7 linked regions of the Xenopus tropicalis genome follow. The protein of the gene in region 4 interacts with the protein of the main gene of each other region in a biochemical or structural test. Links are inferred from orthologs where the notes say so. Each region holds a gene or a part of one and is shown on either strand. Other genes may lie near its edges. The genes, in order: mbp, jun, elk1, mapk1, ptprr, atf2 and gab2.

Region 1 (3,500 bases), on a different chromosome or scaffold from region 4:
ATCTTTATCTGTCAGTTATCAGTTATATTACTTTTTTGGGGTTTATTTTGCAGTAATAATTTAAAAAACGGAAAACAATAACTGAAGCTTTGAAGCGTGTGTTGCAGGGTATAAGGCACTCCACAGCTCTGGACAGAAAGGTTCAAACAGCATATAAAATCTATAATACATGAACGCACAAAGCCAATTGCCAGAGAAGTCACAATCGCGTCTATGAGGTTTAAAGTTAATGCAGTTGGACAAGACTGTTCCTAAAGCCACATCTGGAACCAAGCTAAACTTTACCAATACTCTTCTGAAAAAGGAAAACAAGCCAGCAATATACATATACATATATATATATATATATGTATTTATCTGTACCTGAAACAAAAATCTGGGCCTTAGAAGCTAAATTGCATCAGCAAGCAATAACCCACTTACATGAACAGTACTTATGCTCTACATAGTTACTAACAATTGCAGCTATGACAGTTTCTTTGACAAACCTAATACATTGTTTTCCACTTTAATCCCATGTTAGTTTCCTTTCTATTCCTCAGAGCTCACCTTTCCTGATCCCTTCCTAGGAACAGCTCTCTCCCCTCCAAAGAACCTGCCCAGTGAGTCAAGAAGACCCGAGTCCCTGTGCCTTCCATGGGCTCCATACCCATGCCTAGAGTGATCTGAGGTGCTTGCTGTTGCCATTTGCTTTGATCCGTGCCGAGACAGTTTCTGTGATGCCATCAAATCCGAGTCTTGTGAAGTTGGTGCACTGTCCTCTGGGATGGTTTGAAGCTCATCTGACTCAGAGGGCCGATCTTTGAAGGTGTTGTCCTCTCTTCCTGGTGCATCTCGGGAAAAGAGGCGGATCAGATGTGGGCGAGAGGCAGAGTCAGATGGGTTGGCATCCTTCCAGTCATTCTTGGGGTCTTCTGTGCTTGTGGAGTCAGTCACCGCCGTGCCCTTAGAGGAGGTTCCATTGTTCTGGTTCACATCTGCTGCAAATAATAAGTGTGAGATGTGAATGCAAGGCTGTAAAAAGCAAACAATGCTGCCTTCATTCTCTCTGCCCTGAGTTAGACATTTTATGTTAATCAGACAGAATTTGCTTCATGTATTTGAAATATAAAATAATATTAAACACAGATATCGGGGTGAGTCGCATATAAAGGTAATTTCTTACTTGGCAGTTCTATAGAATTACTATATATATCTCCAGGTTTAAATGGTTACTTGTGTTAGCGAATATGCACATCATGGTTCAATAGACATGTTTATTTTTTACCTTATCTTGCTTTACACTTAGGGACTTACCAAAGCTTTCAAAATAACACCCTGAGACATATTTATATATTTAACAAACAAATGCTAGTAACACACTCCCAATATAGGGGAAAATTGCCCTGGTGCATCCAAGAGAAATAAATATCCACATGAAAAAAAATGGAGCATTCATGGGACTTACGAATAAGTGAAAACTTTTTTCTTAGTTTATATAGGTATGCAACCTGTTATCCAGAGTGCTGGATTTTTTGGTACAGCTAAATGGACTCTGAAACTTAACCCCTAGAGCAGTGATCCCCAACCATTGGCTCAGGGGCAACATGTTACTCACTAACCCCTTGAATGTTGCTATCAGTGCCCCCAAACCAGGTAGTTATCTTTGAATTCCTGACTTGGAGGCAAGTTTTGGTTAAATAAAAACAAGATTTACTACCAAATAAAGCCTCCTGTAAGCTGATAGTGTGCATAGAGGCTGCCTAATAGCCAATCTTAGCCCTTACTTGGCACCTCCATGAATCTTTATGGTGCTTGTGTTACTGTCCAAGTCGTTTTACATTTGACTGTGGCTCACGAGTAAGAAGGTTTGGGGACCCCTACAGTAAGCAATATACAGGGTGGGAGCAGTGATGCAATGCATATGCTCTATCATAAAGGCAAAGCAAGTTGTGGTGCATCTGAGCTGGAATCACCTGGGGTGCTAAAATTTATAACTATGTCTAATGACGTATAAACGTCTGGAAGCATGGGTGCATATGATTGCTGTAGGACTGGCTGTCATTTGTAGCTTCCTTTTCTTTGAAATAACTGGCACAGGCTAATTGTGCTCAGCTCTGCATAATCCTGCTCTCTAAGCATACAGTGACAATTAAATCAGAAATGCAGAAAAAAGTCACAAGATTGTAGCTGGCCTCAAAAGAAGAAGGTCGTATCAACCAAAGAAACATATTAATTGGAAAACATGGAATTTGGTTCAAGTGTCTCTCTGCCATGCACTTTATATACAGCCACATCCTAAAATTCTGTAAGGCACAGCAAGCAGAATCTTCCTGTGATTGCCAGGGGTGGCTAAAAATATCCACTTGCTGTGCTGACTATGGAAGTGCAGGGTGGCAGCTCAGATTGGCAGTATATGCAGTTGTCATTTGTTGTGCCACCTCTAACCACTAGAGAGCTAGATAGCATGCTGTCCCCACCTCTTTTCCTATCTTTCTTAGAGACATACACAAGGCAATTCCATCTGCTATTACCCCTTTGTTCAATAAATATCACCATGACCTTCCTTCCCACTGATGACTAAAACGATGATGATAAAGTTTATATGATCATTTAGGAGCCCCGAGTGCACTTTGACTGTGCATTCTACATGCGTTCGGCCTGTCATGCATTTCATTTTTTTTCACGTACTTCAGACTATTCCCACGTAGGGACCATCCTGGATATATATGATATTCTGTCCATTATGAAAAACATTGGAAACTAAAAGTGATATTATTGTACAGCGCTGCAGAATATGTTGGAGCTTTATAAATACATGTTAATAATATTATTATTATGTCAAAAAAGTGGTGTAAAATAAAAGTAATATTTTTAAAGCTTTTGATTTGACACTGTCAATATCTTTAATCAACAAAGGTGTATATTTTATTTTGATTTTATCCAGAAATAGACACCATTTTTTACACCATCTTTCAACCGTTGAAACCCATAAGGTTGCTTTGATTTTGCTTTCATTGTGTTATTAGACACGAGCAAACTCTGTAATAAAGCAATACAGAGAATGAAGTGCTTTATATAATTAATGGCTCACCCAAGTAGACTTTGGTTCTGGTATACATATTCCAGACCCTGACCAATGTGTGGTTACCTGAAACAAAGAAAAAATTGCAACCCCATGTAGTCAGGCGTAAAATAAAAGTTGAATATGTGGGGATTCATGACGCCCTGCTCATTTGTCTCTGTTCTGGATATGCCAAACACTATACCTTAAAAATAATACACCACCACCTAATTTAATCAGCAATATACACCTATGGTCAACATGAATTCAAATGATCCAAATAAAATAGGTATTGTAGTAAATTAATACTTTATATTTTTCAGTTATAAAGAGCTTATGATCATGGTTCCATTTTTACTGGTAAACTAGGAAGAAAAACTGATTATATAACTATTCTTATTCCTACGATGATTCTGAAAAACTGATGATATGGAAACTCAAAGAAAAAGTGCTGTTT
Region 2 (3,819 bases), on a different chromosome or scaffold from region 4:
TCACACCTCTTGTGTTTCCCAGTAGCACCTTAAGAAACAAGGACTCTAAAATGCTACAGTTTAATAAATTAGTTGGTATATTCTCATCAGTAGCTACTTTAGTTACTACTACTATATCAATTTGTTACACTTTTCTTTTTTCAATAAACTTAGGAAAAGCAACTATTTATCAATTTGTAAAATTGAAGAGGGCTGGCAACCAGTTGGTATTTGTGGTGCACAATTTGGAAATGATTATTTAGCCAATAAGGCTGGAGAATACTGTAAACCATTCCTAACCCCTCAAACATATAATAACAGCAGCAAACTCTTGCCAAAAGCCCAGAACTTTATAATAGCATATATAAATAACCCCAAGTGCTATGATATAAAGAAAATATTGGTCAGTATGTTCTTTTCTGCTTTTACTTTTATATTGCCCAATACCCATATCAAATAATTGTCAAAATATAATACCCTTGAATAGACTCATGCAATATATCAAGTACTATACACAGGAGATAGTTTAACATGCACGTTTATTGCAGTGTAAAAAAAAATATCAATATAAATAAAAAAATCTAATTTCCACATCTTTTATTTAATATCTTAAATATAATTGAACGTCTGGAATTGTCCTTAGAAACAAAAACATAGAAAATTATTATACTTTATTACAAATGGTAAACTCAAGAGTGCTCAATATCTCTTATTTACAGAAAGTAGTGGGTTTATTAACCCAAACATAAAAATAACTTACAAATGCTTGAAGCAATTTTACTGAAATAATTCAGTTTTTCTTAATATTATAATAAAAAAAACAAATATGTACACATACACAGTTATGTAGAAGGCAGGCAGATTTGTCATTAATTTTACTTTTCAATGTCCCGTATGCCTCCCTCCCACACCCTCCCTTTGTAAGAAAACTACGGAAGCAATCTAGTGTCTCTAGCAGTTTAACCTTTTCTTAATACTGAATGATCATCGAATGTTAGGTCCATGCAGGTCTTGGTCAATGTTAAACATGTATCTGATGTTTCATTAGAGCAGGAACAGCACTTGACAAGTGATACTGCTTGTTGCATTGCCACAGGCTCCACCTAAAGGCTTGTCAGGACTCCCCGCACACGCACGTAGAACAGTCAGGTCTCAGTGCCTTTCATTTTGAGCCAGGGAGTTTCAACATGAAACTATTTCCCTCCACAAAATAATTCTCACATCTCTTTCCCAAAGAAGCCTTTTCAGAATGTTTGCATCTGCTGTGTTAACATTAGCTGACACCCACTGTTGACATGATTCATGACTTTTTGTTTGAGCTGGGCTACTTGCTCTCTAAGCATGTTGGCAGTGGATGCCAGTTCAGAGTTCTGGGATTTTAAGTTTTTAACTTTGTCTTCCAACCTGGAAATCCTCTCCAGTTTCCTTTTTCTGCATTTAGATGCTGCGATTCTATTCCTCATACGCTTCCTTTCAGCCTTTATCCTTTCCTGGGACTCCATGTCAATAGGGGACAGTGGAGGAGTCTCCCCAGGCATTTCAGGTACAGTCTGTGGTTCCTCTTTCAGAGCCTGTAACCTGGGGTGCTGCACGGGTATTGGTGGGTTACTCTGATGTTGGCCGGTATACCCCATGGTGTTGCTGTTAAAAGGCGATGATGTGGTGATGGTACTTGGGTTAAAGTTACTTAGATTGGCATACACAGGGGGCTCGTTGTGAAGACTATTGTTGAAGCCAGTGTTTCCAGCAATAGTAGATACAGGTGTCAGTCCCGTGCTGGCAGGTTGGGTGGCAGTGGTTACACTTGGCAAGTTGTTTTGATGGTGGAGTTCTGCCAGTGCCCTAACAAACCCCTCTGCAAAGCCTTCTTGCTCGTCTGTGACATTCTTGGGGCACAGGAACTGGGTGGGGGTCGGGGTGGTGGTAATCATGCCATTGCTGGACTGGATGATAAGCCTCTCCAACTCCGGGGAGGCGAGCTTGAGAAGCCCAACATCAGGGGAGGTGAGCAGTTCAGCTGCCTTGTTTCTCAGGTGAGGTTTGATGGCGCTGCTGGGGTCCGACAGGTTCAGGGTCATGCTTTGCTTCAGCACCTTGTTGTAACCATAGGGAGTAGCATCGTGCTGGGCGAAAGCAGCACTCAGGGCATCTTCGTAGAAAGTAGGTTCCATCCTTGCAGTCATAGAACGGATGCCGGACAGGGACGATGACTGGACCTTACGTTAGTGTGACACCAGCACCAGCCTAGAGAGAAGAGCGAACAGGTTGTTAGCTGACACACCGAACCCCATGGCACCTCCACCCCTCTTCTAAATGGAACTTATGCTTCGCCTGCCGAACTACAACTGGCAGTGTCCCGTAGTGAGAGTTCAAGCACAACTGCTCCCAGCCTGGCACATAACAGAAATAAATGCGACTTACTTTGTGTCTCTAGCAGCAAAGAGGTCCTCGTACTCCGAACGCCACAAAAGTTCTTATAAACTCCCGGGAAAGTTTCCAAAGCGCCGCCGGAGATATGTAATGGCGAGCGCTGGGTGTGTGCGTGTGCCCAGTATAGGTGTCAGGCACACGGACACAAGGAAGAAGTCACTGAGAAGTTAGACGTTCCTTCTCCCCAAGCGCCACAAGTGCTGTCAGTGTGAGCTCTACTCACTTGTACTGGGCTGTGGGACAGCGTGCAGCTAACACTTATCTGCGAGCGGTCACCCACTAAAAATAGACATGATGTCACCCCAACGTCCTGCTATTGGTTGAGCCTTGGGAAGGGAGGCGGGCCAGCGAGGCCAAATGAGCCTCGGTCGCTATGACGACCGCCCTAGAAGATTCTAACTCTCGCGAAGGCTCATGGGATGAGGTAATGCTCCTTTGCCGCTGGGCATTGTGGGCTGACGTATTGTTGTTGGCGGTGCCCGTTCCTTGCTTTGGTAGTTGGGATGGTAGTTTGACGTGGGTTTCCCGCCATAAGGGCTGTTCCGCTCACCCCCTGGTACTGGACAGGGGCTTGAGGCAATTGTATGGTAGTCGTAAGCCGCGGAGGAGACTCATCCCTTTCCTAGCAAAGCGCGATATGGTTGTAATGGTTGTCTGTCACATAAGGAACCGGAGGACTTGGGCTGTGTTTGTCGGCTGGTGAAACTGAAAACTCAGAGTTGAAACAGATTATTTCCACAGGTTTAAGCGATCAGTATGGCAGGTTTTTCAATATGTTGTTTGTTAGTTGCCGAACTAAAATGTGGTAGTGGTTGCTGGGAGTTGTAGTTTTGAAACAACTGGTTATTTTCGGTAGAATGTTATTAGTGTGGTATAGTTTTACTGGCTTTATAGTTATTGTTCTCTTCGCTGTTTTACTTTGTGTAGGACACGGGGGAGACCAAGTTGCAGCCCTCCGGCCATTGCGGGTCCGTGTGTGGGGGTGGGGCTGTATGTGACTAGGAGTTCAACAAGAGCTTGAGGATCGCAACATTGCATAGATACACCAGTGTCAGTGACAGAGAACATGTAAGGCTGTATAGCATCATTGTTATTAAAAGGGTCCCAGTGTTGTGTAGGCATGTGCTACATTCTAATGATCATGCCTTTCTGCACTGGGGTGGATAGCCAGGGAGAAAAGGTGAGGGAAAGTTTTTTTTTTTTTTTTTTTTTTTTTTTTTTTTTTTTTAATTTGGTGGGGGAGGGAGTTTATTGGTGGGTGGGTGTGTAGATTATGATGTGGGCGTTGATGAAAGTAAAAAAAGGATGATTGGAAGCAGGGTGAAGGAGGTAGGGGGAGCGCTGGGGAGGCTTAAAAAGTTTACAGGAGATCAGGTTGCATCCATGAGAACGGAGACTGGCTTTTATGGG
Region 3 (3,500 bases), on a different chromosome or scaffold from region 4:
TAGCGAAATATCCCAAAAAATAGACCTTCTTTTTTGTTAGAATCACAGAGCAGCTAAGAAGTGTCGTCCCCGGCAGTCACGTGACCCACGGGGCGGCCATATTGTCCCACAGAACTCCAGGCCACGTTGGCGTCTCCTTGTGTTTGTCCGAGAGCAAATGTATCGCGTAGGCGTCCATCTTTAATTGGCCGGCCCACGCGTTGCAGCTTTTTGGTTGGAGGAAATTGGCGACGCCCTTCCGACGCCCCCCCCCTCGTACACGACCAAGTAGCCAAACCCCTTTCCCTTTATCTCCAGCAAAGTAGAAAAATATTTTCTGCCCCCGCCCACCCAAGCCTGAGCTCCAGTCTGGGTAACGCCCCCCATATTCAAGTATGTCCCGTCAGCCATTGGCCGATTCCCTGATAAAACGACAGACCTCCAGGATAATAAACCAATGAGAGGAGGGTCTATCCAATCAATAAACGACCCCGTCTCCCATCATTCCTTGCTCTATCCATTGGCCTCCAACACTGCGACTACGGAAAACTCGATCCCGTTCCTCCCGCTGGAGGCGTGGCCTCTCTACCGGCCGAACGTACAGAAGTCCCGGGGCCACCGGAGATATTGGTGCCACCTTTCCTTCAGCAAATAAAGGTTTCATGAAGGTTCTGTATCCCGGCAAACTCCCTCGGAGAGCGCTTGGGGCAGAAAAGGCGCCCTCGGGCAAATGAAAAAGCGCGGGAATGTCGGCTGCGCGGGTCCCTTATGGCTTTTGGGGTCCGGGAGAGAGAACGACAGGGGTGGAGAGTCCGTCGACGCTCAGGGTGGGGACGTGGATTTGGTTGTTGCCATTGGTTGGGAACTGGAAGGAGAGGGAATAACCAATGAGAGGCCTTTCCCCACCTAGTGGCCCCTACTGGCCATTACACCCTGACAGAACAGCGGCCACTTACCTGGAAGGAGAGCTTGGCTGGGCTCCGGGGGGCGATAGGGCTCAGGGTGCTCCAGAAGTGAATAGAGGGTGGGAGGGAACTTGGGGTGAGCAGGAGGGGAGTCTGGGGGCGGAGACAGAGAAGCATTAATGCTGATTCAGCCACAGGATTGTACTAATATTATAGCACTGCCATCTCTAGTCCCGCCCACATTATTATAGTACCACCCACTGCCCCTCCCCCTGTAAGTCACCGTATTATAGTCCCACCCACTGCCCCTCCCCCTGTAAGTCGCCTTATTATAGTCCCACCCACTGCCCCTCCCCCTGTAAGTGCTTGTCGGTTCTCTAGTCCCACCCACTGCTTGGCAGACAGACTCCCCCTGTAAGTCACAGTATCCTAGTCCCACCCACTGCCCCTCCCCCTGTAAGTGTCCATTAGCACTCTAGTCCCGCCCACTGCTTAACAGACTCCCCCTGCAAGTCACAGTATTGTAGTCCCACCCTCTGCCCCTCCCCCTGTAAGTACTCGTCAGTTCTCTATTCCCGCCCCCTGCTTGACAGACTTCTCCTGTAATTCACAGTATCATAGTCCCACCCACTGCCCCTCCCCTATAAGTACTTGTCAGTTCTCTAGTCCCACCCACTGCCCCTCCCCCTGTAAGTACTCGTCAGTTCTCTATTCCCGCCCACTGCTTGACAGACTTCTCCTGTAATTCACAGTATCATAGTCCCACCCACTGCCCCTCCCCTATAAGTACTTGTCAGTTCTCTAGTCCCACCCACTGCCCCTCCCCCTGTAAGCGCTTGTCAGTTCTCTAGTCCCACCCCCAGTTTGAGTCCCAGACCCCTTGCCCCTCCCACTGTAAGTGCCCTAGTCCCACCCCCAGTTTGAGTCCCAGACTCCTTGCCCCTCCCCCTATATATTAAGGCTTTTAGCCCCTGACATAGGTTCCTCAGTAAGCTCAGAGGGGCCGACCCCCCCACAGTACATTCTGGCATCTCTACGACCCACAGAACCGCACCCAGGCCCAATACCCCAGTTGCCCCTCTGGGGCGGAACTGCACTCACCAGTGAGTGGGAGGTGATGACAGAAGACGCGCTCCCCGGGGGCAGAAGTGAGTTCATAGCAGAGTTCATCTTCTCCTGGCCAATCACAGCAGAGTATGGCAGCTCCAAGTCCTTTGGCTTCTTCCCTTTCACTGACTGCCCCTCGGCGGAGGAAGTTGGGGTGGGGGGTCCCCCATCCCTGTCTCTCTGCTCGTTCTTCGTATCCTCCTTCTCCGGGGAGTCAATCACAACCAGGATCTCCTGGGTCATGGGGGGCTCCGGCACCTTCAGCTCAGGCAGAACCGTAGGGAACAATGGCGCATCGGAGAGGCCCTCGCTTCCACCAATGGGGTCTTCTGCCGCTGCCTCCACCTTAATATCAGGTGTGGGGGGGTCCACGGTCACCTGGGTACGACACAAACACCAATGGGAGGTTTCTGTACACAAACTGCTGGGCAAGATGTGGGGGAATAGTGACGGCACATTCATTATGGGGGAACCATTGTATTATACAGAGCCAGTAATGGCGGCACATTCATTATGGGGGAACCATTGTATTATACAGAGCCAGTAATGGCGGCACATTCATTATGGGGGAACCATTGTACCATTGTATTATACGGAGCCAGTAATGGCGGCACATTCATTATGGGGGAACCATTGTATTATACAGAGCCAGTAATGGCGGCACATTCATTACGGGGGAACCATTGTATTATACCGAGCCAGTAATGGCGGCACATTCATTATGGGGGAACCTTTGTACCATTGTATTATACGGAGCCAGTAATGGCGGCACATTCATTATGGGGGAACCATTGTATTATACAGAGCCAGTAATGGCGGCACATTCATTACGGGGGAACCATTGTATTATACCGAGCCAGTAATGGCGGCACATTCATTATGGGGGAACCATTGTTTTATAGGGAGCCAGTAATGGCGGCACATTCAGTGGAAGGATCATTACCTGTAACTGGAGCTCCTCGGAGCTGTGAATATTCACTTCTACAGACAGGGCCTCACTGTTCTGCTCAGCCACTTCGTACGGGGGTGGTACCTCGATGCTCTGCCCTTTCACCTGGAGTGAGGGCGGGGCTTCAGTCAGTGGAGGAGGGGCTTCCAGCTTGCTAGTCTTGGGCTGGCCTGCAGGGGGGGCTTGCAGGGACTGGATGGTGAAAGTGGAGTAGAGGCCGGAGCGCATGTACTCATTGCGACTCGTCTTAGAGCTGCTCCGAACCATCTTGGGGACAAAGGGGGAGCTGTCGGCGGATTTGGGGGGCTGGCTGGGCTCGCTCACACTCTCTCTGCACTTGCCATCGTCCTTAGAGACCTCACTGTTGCCGGGATCCGGGTAACAAACAAACTTGTACACAAACTTCTGCCCACTCACCTTCTTAATAATGTTCTGAAATGAGACAAGATCCAACGATCATCAAAGGCACTTATTATATGTATAACCTATGGTACCAAATACTCTCATGGTACAAATACTCTCGTGGTACAAATACTCTCGTGGTATCAAATACTCTCGTG
Region 4 (3,500 bases):
CTAGGGCCAAATGATCAGACCATAATGACAGGAATACAAGCATTGGAGTGGTCGAATCAACAAGTCAATGAAGTCCTCGATTCAAACCTCCCCAATTTTCAGCAAGATATTGGCAGGGTAGGGCCATGTCGAAGGGCCTCATACACTGGCAGATAATTTGCCAAAATCAACCTGAAGGGCCCGAATCGGAAGCTTAAACCTGCCCATGTAGCCCATCTTAAGTCCTACATTCGAGCAAGAAGTGTGCAAGCCAGGCAGATGGCTTGCTCAGCAGAAGCTTAGGAGAAGCACGATGTGCGCCTGAGACAGGCATAGGAGAACAAGGTTAACAGATCAATAGATATTTGTCAAAATTGTTGTTCATAATGAGCATGTTTTACAAAGCATTAAATAATAATGAAACATAATTACTGTATCTCTAAATACTGAGTGCAGTAGTTAATTGTTTGCCTTTCTGTTAATATTATAGGAAGCCAACACCCTGGTTTCTAAACTTTTAAAGCTTGTACCTACAGTTCAGAGAAATTTGATAGGCTCTTCTTTCCCATCCACACAAATACACTTAAAGTGGACCTGTCACCCAGACATAAAAAGCTGTATAATAAAAGTCCTTTTCAAATTAAACATGAAACCAAAATTCATTTTTATATTAACACATTCAAACCCATTATAAATGCATTTAAAAATCCCAGCTGTCAATCATATACTTCTTGTCCTGCCTCTATGCCTCAGACATAGAGGTGGGGCAGACAGTTACTTAAACTTTCCATTCAGCATTCACATTCCCATACCTTCTCACCATCTAATTGTGTAGCCAGTGCATGGGCCTGGGCATCAGGTCCCCCATTCTGGCACATATACAAGATCTTGGGATGATACAAAGCTTGCCTTAACAGTGCCCATAAAATGGCAGCTGCCTGCTGGCTGTGATTGTATATTTCCAAGACTGAAGGAAACAAGATTTTTTATCATTTATATAGTATGTAAAGTTAAGTTTGCTTAACAAACACAAAAGAAAAGAAATTGGAATTATTTCTTAGGGTGACAGGTCCCCTTTAAGACACTAAGATACAGAAATAATAAATACAAATTTATATACTTAACAATAGATGACTTTAGACCTTACCAAGTATGTGATTGAGTTGGTCAAGATAATGTTTTCCAGGAAATATGGGTCTATTAGAAAGCATCTCAGCAAGAATGCAGCCAACAGACCAGATGTCAATCGATTTGGTATAGCCCTGAAAACAAGCAACGTTTTTTTAGTCACTAAACCACCGTGCTAACAGTGGTCTATAACAGTCTATAGCAGATTATTCTTTTTCATAAAGGTTATGTCATTTTTTTTTCATACACACTGAGATATAACATGTACGGTACATACCATAAACAATTCCTTTCTTCGTGCCTGAACTGAGAAACAACAAACAATACAGAAGAATGGCACTCACATAATTTGCTGAATCAGTCTTCCACGGATTTATTTGCTCAACATTTTGATCCCCCCACAGGGACCTTTGTCGGGAGTCAGACAGTGCAACCACAGTAGTGATAGAATTTGATTAGAGGGGCATTTTTCTGCATTGTTTACACCCCCCCCCCCCCCCAATAATTTGTTATTTTGTGCAAAAAGATACCAGCACTCACAGGATTTTGAGTTTACTGGTAGATCAAGGTTTTACATTTGGCAGGCTTTATTGTTCATCAATCTGGGCTGCCACAAATGAATAGAATGTGATGTGCAATATATTCAAGTCCAGTGCTGTCAGACATTTCTTATGAAAAGTATCTTAGTAATAAGTTGCAGAGATGACATGCCAACATTTGAATCTAACTTGTATCACTTATATACAGGTGTTTCTGAAACAATCTCAAAGGTGACCATGTTGTGATGACTGTTACCTAAATGGGAATTTTGCAGATGACATCCCACTGGCGATTTACATTCTCGCTGGAGGGATGGCATTTCGGGGAGATTTGTCGCGCGCAGACTAATCTCCCCGTCTGTCACACACCTTATGTTAATTTTAGAAGCAAAACAACCCCTTTATGTGCTCCATAATCTATAAAAATCTCTAATGTTTAATATAGAATTATAGAAATTTAAGTCTTAAATTAACTGTGAGGCCAAAGCATATTTACATTTTGAATTACAAGAAAATTACATGCACCTATCAGTCTATCTATACATGCAGTCATTTTTTTACCTTGGAATTCAGCATGATCTCAGGAGCTCTGTACCAGCGAGTGGCTACATATTCTGTGAGAAATCCAGTGTGATCATGGTCTGGGTCTGCAACACGAGCCAATCCAAAATCACAAATCTGGAAGATACAAAGTTCCAACTTATCACATTAATAGCGTACACATGAGTGTACCTATGAGTTTGTAGAAACATTTCGTATACTATAGAATAGTTAAAAAGCCTATATTTGCGCTTTTTTTTTTGTGATTCTGTAAGGGACCACCTGCCAGTCCCATGTAATGCAAAACTGGTTTACATTGGCTCCAGTACCAGTTCAGAAACAGGGCTTAGTGCCTAGCAATGGACACTGAACACACTAGTACAAGCCAAAGCCTCGGGGGGGGGGGAAGTACTATTGCCTTAGTTGCACAACTACCCAACAACTAGCAAAAACTTTAGCCCATGTTTAGAAGAGTCCTGATGCCTGCAGGGTTTAAGGAATAGGATGGAATCACTCATACGAGTAAGCTTGTAGTTGCACTCAAAAGGGTATTGAGGTTTAAGGGTAAGGACTGTGTTTTTTTTTTTTTTTTGTTTGTTTTTTTTGCATTACAGCTCTAAGTTCTCTTTAAAGGACATTAACTATTATAATTACCAATCTGCACTGACCTTAAGATCACAGGTAGTGTTAAGCAGCAAATTTGAAGGCTTAAGATCACGATGTAGAACATTGGCTGAATGGATGTACTTTAATCCTCTCAGGATCTGGTACAAGAAATAGCAGATGTGGTCATTGCTAAGATGCTGAGTCTTCAGGAGTTTATAGAGATCTGTCTCCATGAGATCCTGCACAATATACCTGGAATGTTTAATGTAAGGCAACAATGATGGAGTGTGAAAAATTAAAGAAAGAAAAACTGAAAGAAACAAATCACATTTTTCTCTGAAATCTACTTTTGAAAAGAAAAACAGATAAACAATTTTAACAGCAAGGATACACATCTTTCATTTGCTCAATGGTTGGAGCTCGAATTATGTCATTAATTCCAATGATGTTTTCATGCTTAAAACGCAGCAAGATTTTGATCTCCCTCAGTGTTCTCTGGCAGTATGTCTGATGCTCAAATGGGCTGATTTTCTTGATAGCAACTCGTACTTTGTTTACATTGTCATAGGCAGAACTGAAATACAAAGCAAGCACAATTAATTATTGGCCACTGTTTCTACCATACATTATAAGTCAAGCTATACAGCATTAGATATCCCACAAACTCTGTAATAGTTATTTTTTTTTTTTTATTTCCAATGAATTTTG
Region 5 (3,500 bases), on a different chromosome or scaffold from region 4:
AATCGTGGAAGATGCCTTGAGAGGAAACTTCCACGATTTCACTGAAATCACGCCGCCACGTATGCCATCCCACCGGCGATTTACATTTTCGCCGGTGGGATGGCATTTCGGGGAGATTAGTCGCCCGCGAACAGGGAGATTTGTACTACAGCCCTTAAGGACCACATGCTGCTTTTTTACAGTATCCTAAAATCTGAATGAAGCTAATTATACATTTTGTCACAAGAACAAAGAAGAATGAAGAAAAGTGATTTATTTTACCCCTATATATTTCCCCTGTTGGAATAGCTGTACCCCAAATTTTAGCCCTACAAGTCTGACATGTCTGAAGATCTGAGAAATAATGATTAAGACAATCTGGTCATGCAACCAGTCCTGTTTGGGGGGCTTTGCCATTACAAATCATTCATTTTCTGCTCTCTTGGTTGTACCTGTAAGCAAACTCATATAATGTGTAAGTAAATACAGAATAGAGATTCATGGAAAGCTCTTCTTCAAGGTTTCCCTTCGATGCTGTCAGATTTTCTAGTGGGTTCTACTCACACTTCTTTTTCCCTGTCTTCCAAATATGACTAGATGTGTGTAACATAACCTAGCCTGAAGCAGCTGGATATGACACTGTAAATGATACCTAATGTAAAGAATTTAGAGAATGATTTGCATTTATGCTTTGGTGGTAGGTTAAGTAGAACAGGTTTTGCATATGCATATTGCTTGAGTCATTCTATTCCCCTGAAACGAAGTGAATAGACTTACGAACTGCCTAATACATGTGAGCAGAAGGAAATGCCTATATTTATCATCCTTTCCTTCTTAGCAACCAAATCAGATGGCAGATGGACTCCCAAAAAATAAAAATAAAATCTAATCAGGATAGTGGAGGTATTGGAATTAGGGAACATGGGGATTCCAGATGCTTTATGAAGATTAGATGGCCTTTTCTAAAATATACTACTATTTCTGTGTTATGAGAGAAATATTAATCCCTCTTGTGTTGGTGACGCCTTTAACTCAAGAATAACCCTAAAGGAGACAGCTAATTGCTAGGACAGGAGTGCAACAGAAGTATAAAACAATCCCCAAACAGGCAGTGGAGACCACAGTAAGGGGAATATTTACTATGGTGTTTAAAATATCTTTTGCCAAAAAGTAGTGGTGTGAAATACATGGTGCTTTTGTGAAGCTGGGCTGTTTGTATTTGTAATGTTTGTATTTTTTTATGTCGGACTAATGCCAAAAATTATGCCACAACTAATTATTTTTACAAGTAAATAAAGCTTGCTATGTAACCAGGATAAACTTCCCTTATTACAATTGCATTTAGTAGTTTCCAATAGTTTTGAATTTTCCTCTGTGCTTTCTATTTGTAAGTATGATTTTAAAGGAGAAGGAAAGGTAAAAACTACATAAGTTTTATCAGAAATGTCTATGTAAATACAGCCATAAGCACTCACAGAAATGATGCACTGAGTCCTCTAAAGATTTGTTGTCTCTGTTTTCCTGTGCCAGAGACACACAGCTCTCTCCTTTCTCCCCTCTTCTGCTCCTCCCTCCCTCAAGAATGCTAAGAACTTACTCCCCCCCCCTTAGGAATGTATATCTGAGCCAATCAGCAGGAAGCTTCCTCATAGTTTTACTAACGGAGCATGTACACCGGCCTTGGTCTTGGTTCAGGAGCAAGGCATTATGGGAACTTTCTTTACAGAGCTCAGCGTTCTTGTTTTCCTATGAGGCTTCTGATCATCTAAACGGGAGAAATATGGGGAGACTTAAGGGCACTATTGAGAGAACTGAAGGTATGCCTGCAGCTTGAGATTAACTCTTTATTAGCCTTTCCTTTTCCTTTAAAGGATTTGAATAAAAGTTAGTTTTTTCATAGTTAGATAGTTCAGATAGTTTATCTGAAGGTGTGCCATTGAGGATGTGTCTTTTGTAAAATATTGTCTTAATTAACTTACACACTGTGTACCCGACAGTACACTATAGTGCAAGGTTTTTTTTTCAGACATATTGTTTTAAATAATGCACCATGGTCTTGATGTTTGCCATATTCTAATGCCCCTTTTTATACCCTTACCTCAATATGTAATTAAAGGCACTAAGTTTTCCCTGGTGCAGTAACCCATAGCAACCAATAATATGTTCTCTTTTAAACAGATGACCAGTAAATGCTACCCACTGATTGGTTGCTATAGGTTATTGCACCAGGGAAAACTTAGTGCCTTTTATTACATCACCCCCTTAAACTCTTATTGCTTTTGCACAAATGGTACAGACATTGCAGTTTTTGATAATTCAGGAACATTTTAGGTTGACTTTGAATTTCGACCAGCACAAATAGCAGCACTCAAAATGCCCCTCTTCACCTGCCATGGGAAAAATTGTGTTTAGTGCACATGAAGGGGGCAACAGAGGGCCTGCACTCAAAAATGCATGCTTAAGCATTTCTAAGCATAGGTCCATCTATCAGTGCTATTTGTTTCCCGTTTAATAAGGGAAGTGCTGATAGGTGGAGTAGGATATTTTGACCACTGTTGTTTGCCGCCTGATGATGGCAGTAGTCAAAACACCCAGTCTGACATCAGCATTAGTGTTCTGCAGAAACTATTCAAAAGGGAACCAGCACTAGTGTTGTTTCTGCTGAATGAAAAAGGATTTGAGTGTGTTCATTGACATGTATGTGTGGAACTTCACAAGCTGTTCAATTATACCTAATATACTGGTCACAGTCCAACTCTTATGTAAAACCTTTAGAGAGCCGACTCTAGTATGTGATAGATTAGTCAGAATAACAAAAACAAACATTAAACCTTCCAAGAAGTTAAATAAACTCCCACAGGACAAATTATGAGCTTTTTTGAGAACTCCGCTTTGATTCTTTTTGTGTTTGTTTTGCTATGTTTATAGAGTAGGAGGAGAATATTGTAAATACTCTTTACTTTCTATCTCCGTAGGTTCTCTACAGATTAAAAGAAAAGATTCAGTTTTCATTGAGGCAGGACAAAAAAAATCAGGAGATCCACCTGTCGCCTCTCCCAGCTCAGCCTTCACCATCTCAGGCTAAACGGCCAAGCAGTATGGTGCAGCATGAACATATCCCTAAAGCTGTGAATGTTATTGTAGACCCCCAGTGCCAAGGCACCTTTGAGATCAGACCTCCTCTGTCTGCGGGACCTTCTCCATTTAAAATGAAACCCGTAGGCCTCCAAGAAAGGTAAGCATATATTTTATATGAAATTAGTCCTCCGAACGGCTGTCTCATCTATGAGCTATGGAAACACCCAACTGCACATTTTATAAAGTTCCTCTTTTTGGTTACAATGACCATCTGGCTTGTGACAAAGCATGCCTGCAGTTAATGTTTATTTTTTTAAAGGAACAGTAACAAGAAAAATGATTAATATCACCCGGCATACTATTCATTTTCATTGAACAAAATGTCCTGATTTTTAATGCAATGTATTTATAACTTATTTTATGTATTGTGTCTTTTGTATATT
Region 6 (3,500 bases), on a different chromosome or scaffold from region 4:
GTACCACAATTTTAGTTTTGTTATAAAGGGGATGTAAATGCAAAAAATATTTTGTCTAATGAAATGTGAATGTAATTTTTGCAACTTTTCCCATGTTCATTCATTGCATATTTCTGGTTTTAGAGTGAAGACACACATGGTGATTAGTTGGCGCGGCTTTTTTAAAAAAAAAAAAAAAAAAGGCAATAGTTGCAACTAATCGCAGCGACGGTCCCACCATAGGTTATTATGGAAGTCACTGTGACTAATGGCCTGTGGTTTTGCACTGCGCGGATTAGTCACCACAACTTTTTACAAAGTTGCGTCTACTAATCGCTGCATGTGTCTTTAACTTCAGAGTTATTTTGTAAATAACTGCTTCTGTAAGCAGTGTCTGTCTGACCCTTTCTCTTCTGTGCCGTATCGGTGGTTAAGACCTTTGAAACAGTGTAGCAAAAGCCAGTCTAGCTCTGTGAAGGAGCATTCATTGCTGACTTGTGCCATGTTGTTTCCAGAGACACAACCATTGATGAATGTGGAGTAGAAAACTGTTTACAATGTTGTTTCATTAGATAAGATTTTATCTTTTATCTTATTTTGGTGTTTTCATCCCTTTAAGGGCCCTGGTACACGGGGAGATTAGTCGCCCGTGACAAATCTCCCTTGTTGCTAGTGTCTAATCTCCTCGATATGACATCCCACTGGCGAAAACGTAAATGGCATACGCGGCGGCGCCTCGAAAGGCAACGTATCCCCGCCACTTATGCCATCCCACCGGCGATTTACATTTCGCCGGTGCGATGTCATATCGGGAAGATTAGTCGCCCGCAACAAGGGAGATTTGTCGCGGGCGACTAATCTCCCTGTGTACCAGAGCCCTAAGGGTAAAAAAAATGGAGCTACTTGTAGCAGCTACTTGTCACAACTACAGAAATAGACAGTGCTGATCATTTACTGATAATTGTCTCTACATGTGTTTTAGCAGAGGCAATTTTCAGTACTGTCTATGGCAGGGTATTTTCTGGCACATAGTAACCGTGACAAGTAGCTGCTACTAAGTAGCTCTGTGTGTCTTTGCCCTTAATGTTTCTGTTGTTCCATTCCTTGATAAAACTAAAGTGTACAAAGTGGGTTTGGATGTTTCCAACTGGATGTTTTCTAAATCACATTTGAAATGTAGTAGCAACATATATGTACTGACATTCTGTATTCAGCCTTTACCCTTCTCCATGTTTTATTGCTACTTAATAGTAAAATTGTCATTTCAATCTGAGCCTAATGTTAATGATTTAACTAAATGGAACTGTAAGCTGCATTTATATACTTCTCTTAAAAGATTTAAATGCCTCGAGTTGAACTTAGGCCCTTGGCACACAGGGCATTTTGTTGACCACTGCCCCAGAGAACCATGGCAGACAAAACTCACCTTTCCACTTGCTCAGAATGCTACTGAATGACAAGTGTCCTATTGAACAGACACAGTCCAGTGACGGCAGACCATGGGCAATGTCCACCATTTACAGCACACATGCTGCTTTTTATTCTCAAATATTTGGGTCAATGACAAGTAGAGAGAGTGGTGTTTTGTCTGCCACTGTTCTGTCCCAGCAGAAGGAAAAAAGCCTAGGAACAGTAACACCAAAAAATTAAAGTGTATAAAAGTAATTACAATATAATGTACTGTTGCCCTGCATTGCTACAGCTGGTGTGTTTTCCTCAGAAAGACTACTATAGTTTATATAAGTAAGTTGCTGTGTAGCCATGGGGGCAGCCATTCAAAGGATAAAAGGCACAGGTTACTTAGCAGATAACAGATAAACCCCCATTATATGGGGCTTAGCTACTAGTTATCTGCTATGTAACCTGTGCCTTTTCTCCTTTTTTCCAGCTTGAATGGCTGCCCCCATGGCTACACATCAGCTTATTTATATAGTAGCTTTTCTGTAGCAAAAACACCAGTTTTTTGCAGAGCAACAGCACATTATGTTTTAATTACTTTAAAACACGTTCATTTTTTGATGTTACTGTTCCTTTAGCAAACCTGTTTTCAAAAACTTCTCAAAAATAAGGTCACAAGTGGGAATTTGGTTCTCCTGAATTCCCATCTTCAAATCAAATACTGGTATAGGATCTATTATCCAGAATGCTTGGAACCTCAGGTTCTCCTAACAAGGGATCTTTCCGTAATTTAGAACACTGTTTCATAAATCAATTACTACTTGTCACACAAAAATTAAATTAACCCAGTAGGATTTATTTGCTGCCAATATAGATTCATGAGGTTTCGTAAATGTCAGGTACAAGGTACTGATTTATTATGGAGACAAAACAAAACCATTTTTAAAAATTAGATTTATTGGCTTTAACCGGATTCTATGGGAGATGGCCTCCCCAATAATATAACAGTTTTGCGGATAACAATTGACATACCTGTACTTCCTTCTATTTTGCAAGAATCATGTAATAAGTGAATGTATTATGAGGAATATATATTAACAGACTTATTTCATGTTATAGGAAGTGCCATTGCCAGCCGCACAACCCACATCTACCATTGTACGCCCTGCGTCTCTTCAGGTTCCTAATGTGCTGCTTACAAATACAGATTCAAGTGTCATTATTCAACCGGCAATACCTTCACCAACATCCAGCACTGTAATCACGCAAGCCCCTCCAGCTAGCAGACCAATAGTGTAAGTATCCCATTCTGTTGCTTTGTAATTTCAATACAAACTATCCAAAACACCTTTAACTCTCTGGTACCCAGCAGATTTTACGATAATGGTTTGTAACCAAAGTCAGGCCGTGTCCTTTAGTGTGCAGCATTTGATTTAGGTCAGTGGTTGCCAGCTAAGAATGCATGGGGCCCTTTCAAAATTGCAGAGCCTTGGGAATCACTAGTTACTAATTGTTTTTTGTTTTGTTTTGTTTTTTTTTATAGCCAATGGCCCTACAGGCAGATTTGAATAAAATAACTTAACTGAAGGATAAAACTAAATAGGCATACTTGCAAGATGTCAGTAGCAGGCTAGAGAAATTATGCCTTTTGCTTAGAGGAGGATAACCTATGATAGCAATCTGAACTACAAGCTGGGAAACCTCTATAAATGAAAGGAAAGAATGGTATGAGCTAACTAACAAATCATATAACATTGCTTTTATAACATCCTTTGTTAAATTAGACACTTTCCTTAGTGCTTCCCCTGCAAAACAAGTTCTCAAACAGGCTGTGTGATTTTGCCAAAAGAGACTTTATTAGATAGCTAATTTGGTTGGTAAAGTTGAGCTTTTCCAGAATTATTGTGACATGCATATACACACATAAGCAACATTTATACTACTTATCATACATTTTCAAGGCACCTAGGGCAACAAAATTATATGGGCAGGGGTGATTGGGGTATATCAGCTGGACCAACCCCCCAAGAGGGAGAGCCCCAGGATACAGATCACTGGTGCATATGTGTGTCAGATATACATCACCCCCAGGCAACATGCATGTGATAACTGCTGGGCATGTG
Region 7 (3,500 bases), on a different chromosome or scaffold from region 4:
TATCCTTCAAACCATCTCCAACATTTTTTACTCGTGAGCCACACGTAGATGTAAAAAGTGTTGGGGAGACACACAAGCATGAAAAAAGTTCTTTGGGGGTGCCAAATAAGGGCTGTGATTGGCTATTTGGTAGCCTCATGTGGCCTGCAGGTAAAACTGTGTCTATGGGCTTCCAAAACTTGTCTCCAAGCCAGAAATGTAAAAATGGGCAACATCAAAAGGGGGTGGTGGGGAACATGATGTCCCTGAGCCACTAGTTAAGGGATCACTGAGCTAAAGGGACCATCACCAATAGCTGGACCTCAAAGGGCCTTCAAAACAATTAAGTCCTAAAACCACTGGTCGACAGAGAAAAAATATTATGTATCACCAGTTATCTATACCAGGGGTCGGGAACCTTTTTGGCTGAGAGAACACCACGTATTTTAAAATGTAATTCTGTGAGAGCCATACAATGTTTGGCTGCGGGGCAAGGTAGGGTGGGTCCCAAGGATGCCGGACGCTGATGCGATGCAGTGGAGGGTGCGGCCTGCGCTCGGCGGATAGAAGATGTGTTCTAAGGCTTAGAACACGTCTTCTATCCGCCGAGCGCTGGCCTCATCCCCCCGTTATTTTTTTTATTAAAGATTTGGCAGCGAGCCAAATGCAGCCATCAAAAGAGCCACATCTGGCTCCTGAGCCATAGGTTCCCTACCCCTGAGCTATACCATTCAAATAAATTGACTTATGATGTACATTTGCCACTTTGGCATGAAGCATATCATTTTTCCAAAGAGCCACCAAATGGAATGTAGGCATTGATGGAACAATAGTTATGAATCTAGTTATTACTGGGAAAAAAACAAAAAAAGGTGAAACATAGTCTACTGACTAAATATGGAACAATGAACAGTGTTGAGTGGATAAATATGGCGGAATATTGAAGATTTCAAAGCCAGTAGTACCTCGATGGCGCTTATTCTCCACGGCTGGTAACGTGTTCCTCCTTGGAAGATTGACCATTGCCACGTTATCGCCATTATGATGATGTTGTGGCTGTGGGCTACCCCAAATCGTCTCTGCTTGTCCTGGTTTAGGGGGACGGGGAGGGGGTGTGGAATGGAAGTCATTGGAGGCAAGACCCAGAGCATTGTGGTTCTTGTCTAAAGTGAAAGTTCTTGGGATCTGATACACAGAGAGCGGCGTCCCAGGGATATCATAGGAATCCGTTGACAGTTCCCTAAGCTCTTTACACAGAGCATTGCTGGGAGTTTTGTAGCAGTAAACATCCTCGCTTTCCGACTCCAGTCCTGTAAGGCTTGACTTGGTTGGTGTGTCAGAGCCAAAGCTTCTCGGCAGGTCGTAAGCACTGTCCCTAAGCTCAGAACTAAGTCTGCTCGGCTTGGGTAAACTATAAAAGCCGTGCACTTGTCCGCTGATCCCGTTCAAACAGTGACCGTAACCCTGGACCAACTTCTGGACGGCCGAGTCGCTTCTCATAAAAAAGGAGGACCTTGTGGCTTGGGAAAAACTGGCACTTCTGGGGGAAAAAAAAATAATGTTAAGGTTGGCCAAGATGGCAGCTCTTGCACTAGAAGGGGGGATATGATAACTATGTATAAGGGCACCATAATGTAAACTAACTTATTTAGCTGTAGGTCCTTCCAATAAACAGAAGGAGATTCCTTGAGATAAGGGTTTTCTTTACAGTGAGAGATGTAAAGTTCCCTCCCTGAAATGGTTAGAATGGCAGATACATTAGAGAGCTTTAAGAAAGGGTTAGATGCCCAAGTGAAATACAGGGGCCGATTGTAGCTGATGATATGGGTCCCTTAGACCAATTCGGCAGCTAATCGGCCTGTGTATGGGCACTCCTGATGGGCCTGCCCAACCGATATCTGGCCTGAAATCGTCCAGATCTTGATCGGGCAGGTTAGAAAATCTAGTTGGATCGGGGACCGCATCGGCTTGTTGATGTGGTCCCCGGACCGACTTTTCCTATACCCGTCATTATAATTCGATCGTTTGGGATCGGGGCCAAGCAATCGAATTATCCTGGATTCTCCCGATATCGCCCACCCATAGGTGGGGATATTCGGGAGAAGATCTGCTCGAGCGGATCAGCCCGTGTAAAGGGGACCTTTAGGCCAAACTGTAGATGGCTATGGATGGGGGGGTTGCCTTCCTCTGGATTATGTAAAGGGTTGAAACTGATGCACCGTTATCTTTTTTGCAACCCCAACTACTATGTTCCTATGTAGAATAATGTGTATTTGTATGAACAGCAACTTCCTAATCACAGAAGAGATATTTTGTTTACCGTAGGTTCTCAGTATTGACCTAGAGGTTTTCCATTATGGTTTATGGCCAGTTTCACCTTCATTGCTCCCTGTGCAGCCATCTTTGCCCTGGCTCTTTATGATTGCTCATCTCACTTATCTGTCAATCGTCTCTGATCGTTATCTGCACTCTAATTTATTTAGTGTTTTACTGCTCTCCTTCTAAGTTCTTTATGGTTATCTCACTTCCTCTCTCGTCTCCAGATGTCTCCGATCAGTATCTGCTCAGCCATTTGTGTCTTGTTCAAGGGCAATAACACACGGGCACTCGAAACCTCCCCCATTCACTTGCATACATTCAGTATTGCCCCAACTGCTAATGCCCCATAAAGCACCGTATACAGTCTCTGTGTTTATCAGTCGTCGGAGTCTCTGGTTTTTTAGGCACAAATCCCCTCCACAAATTTGCTCTTCTGAGCTTTTGTTCAGGATTACTGCTTCAGACATTGGTTAAATGGTCTATAGACCAAAGGGATTCTGGGAACAAATAAAAAAATCCCATTTACATGGGTTTATCCTATAGGCTAAAGCTCACCCACTGGGTTTTAAAGCAAAAGCCAGGATAATAGCTGATCAGATTCCCAACTACAGACGGGTTTCGCTCTTCTTGGGGTTCATCAGTGTAGTGCAGGGATTTCTGATCAGCTTAGGCCCAGAATCCCTGGGGTCTATTTGTATATGTATGAGGCGGTCTCCTCAACCTTTTTGACTTGTTTGTGAATCCTCACCCCTGGCTCTCCCTAAGCGGTTCAGAAAACCCTGCACTACACTGATGAGCCCCCAAAACCAGTCTGTAGTTGGGAATCTGATCAGTTGGCTGGCTTCAAAAACCCAGTGGGTGAGCTTTAGCCTATAGGATGAACCCATGTAAATGGGATTTTTTTAGAAGCCTTAAGGAATTTGTTCCCAGAATCCCTTTGGTTTGTGTCTCCTCAACCCTTTTGACTTGTTCATTAAATGGTCAACAAACCACCCATGTCCAGACAATGGGCTCCCAGAACGGCGACGGTTCTTACCTCATGGTCTCGGACTTTTGGCTCATACATTGGTGCAGGAACAGGTAATCCTGAGGCGCGCTGGTGGATAGCGCCGTCTGGTGAGCGTGGTTAGAAGGAGACTCGAATGTAAACAAAGTGGGCTGACTGGAATGGGAAGGTGCCGAAGTCTTTCTCTCCCTGAGAA

What was found.
Region 1: of the proteins of mapk1 (region 4) and mbp, one has a biochemical effect on the other in vitro, tested with the Homo sapiens proteins (16 studies listed by BioGRID and IntAct). The link is inferred for Xenopus tropicalis from reciprocal best matches to the Homo sapiens genes MAPK1 and MBP.
Region 2: of the proteins of mapk1 (region 4) and jun, one has a biochemical effect on the other in vitro, tested with the Homo sapiens proteins (2 studies listed by BioGRID, with this or other methods). The link is inferred for Xenopus tropicalis from reciprocal best matches to the Homo sapiens genes MAPK1 and JUN.
Region 3: of the proteins of mapk1 (region 4) and elk1, one has a biochemical effect on the other in vitro, tested with the Homo sapiens proteins (16 studies listed by BioGRID and IntAct, with this or other methods). The link is inferred for Xenopus tropicalis from reciprocal best matches to the Homo sapiens genes MAPK1 and ELK1.
Region 5: the proteins of mapk1 (region 4) and ptprr form a complex in vitro, tested with the Homo sapiens proteins (2 studies listed by BioGRID, with this or other methods). The link is inferred for Xenopus tropicalis from reciprocal best matches to the Homo sapiens genes MAPK1 and PTPRR.
Region 6: of the proteins of mapk1 (region 4) and atf2, one has a biochemical effect on the other in vitro, tested with the Homo sapiens proteins (3 studies listed by BioGRID). The link is inferred for Xenopus tropicalis from reciprocal best matches to the Homo sapiens genes MAPK1 and ATF2.
Region 7: of the proteins of mapk1 (region 4) and gab2, one has a biochemical effect on the other in vitro, tested with the Homo sapiens proteins (2 studies listed by BioGRID). The link is inferred for Xenopus tropicalis from reciprocal best matches to the Homo sapiens genes MAPK1 and GAB2.

The regions. Positions count from the first base shown.
Region 1 is NC_030682.2:98,910,145-98,913,644, reverse strand, and holds part of mbp (myelin basic protein), read right to left. Parts: intron 981-3,500; coding exon 532-980; 3' UTR 1-531. UniProt on the Homo sapiens protein: The classic group of MBP isoforms (isoform 4-isoform 14) are with PLP the most abundant protein components of the myelin membrane in the CNS. They have a role in both its formation and stabilization.
Region 2 is NC_030680.2:86,738,690-86,742,508, reverse strand, and holds jun (transcription factor AP-1), read right to left. Parts: upstream 2,668-3,819; 5' UTR 2,163-2,667; coding exon 1,224-2,162; 3' UTR 501-1,223; downstream 1-500. UniProt on the Homo sapiens protein: Transcription factor that recognizes and binds to the AP-1 consensus motif 5'-TGA[GC]TCA-3'.
Region 3 is NC_030684.2:1,348,786-1,352,285, reverse strand, and holds part of elk1 (ETS domain-containing protein Elk-1), read right to left. Parts: intron 3,373-3,500; coding exon 2,935-3,372; intron 2,370-2,934; coding exon 1,986-2,369; intron 1,038-1,985; coding exon 936-1,037; intron 845-935; coding exon 746-844; 3' UTR 1-745. UniProt on the Homo sapiens protein: Transcription factor that binds to purine-rich DNA sequences. Forms a ternary complex with SRF and the ETS and SRF motifs of the serum response element (SRE) on the promoter region of immediate early genes such as FOS and IER2.
Region 4 is NC_030677.2:154,033,074-154,036,573, reverse strand, and holds part of mapk1 (mitogen-activated protein kinase 1), read right to left. Parts: intron 3,367-3,500; coding exon 3,184-3,366; intron 3,045-3,183; coding exon 2,855-3,044; intron 2,325-2,854; coding exon 2,208-2,324; intron 1,242-2,207; coding exon 1,127-1,241; intron 1-1,126. UniProt on the Homo sapiens protein: Serine/threonine kinase which acts as an essential component of the MAP kinase signal transduction pathway. MAPK1/ERK2 and MAPK3/ERK1 are the 2 MAPKs which play an important role in the MAPK/ERK cascade.
Region 5 is NC_030679.2:59,563,325-59,566,824, reverse strand, and holds part of ptprr (receptor-type tyrosine-protein phosphatase R precursor), read left to right. Parts: intron 1-2,954; coding exon 2,955-3,214; intron 3,215-3,500. UniProt on the Homo sapiens protein: Sequesters mitogen-activated protein kinases (MAPKs) such as MAPK1, MAPK3 and MAPK14 in the cytoplasm in an inactive form.
Region 6 is NC_030685.2:64,401,198-64,404,697, reverse strand, and holds part of atf2 (cyclic AMP-dependent transcription factor ATF-2), read left to right. Parts: intron 1-2,496; coding exon 2,497-2,672; intron 2,673-3,500. UniProt on the Homo sapiens protein: Transcriptional activator which regulates the transcription of various genes, including those involved in anti-apoptosis, cell growth, and DNA damage response.
Region 7 is NC_030678.2:168,999,494-169,002,993, forward strand, and holds part of gab2 (GRB2-associated-binding protein 2), read right to left. Parts: coding exon 3,335-3,500; intron 1,520-3,334; coding exon 945-1,519; intron 1-944. UniProt on the Homo sapiens protein: Adapter protein which acts downstream of several membrane receptors including cytokine, antigen, hormone, cell matrix and growth factor receptors to regulate multiple signaling pathways.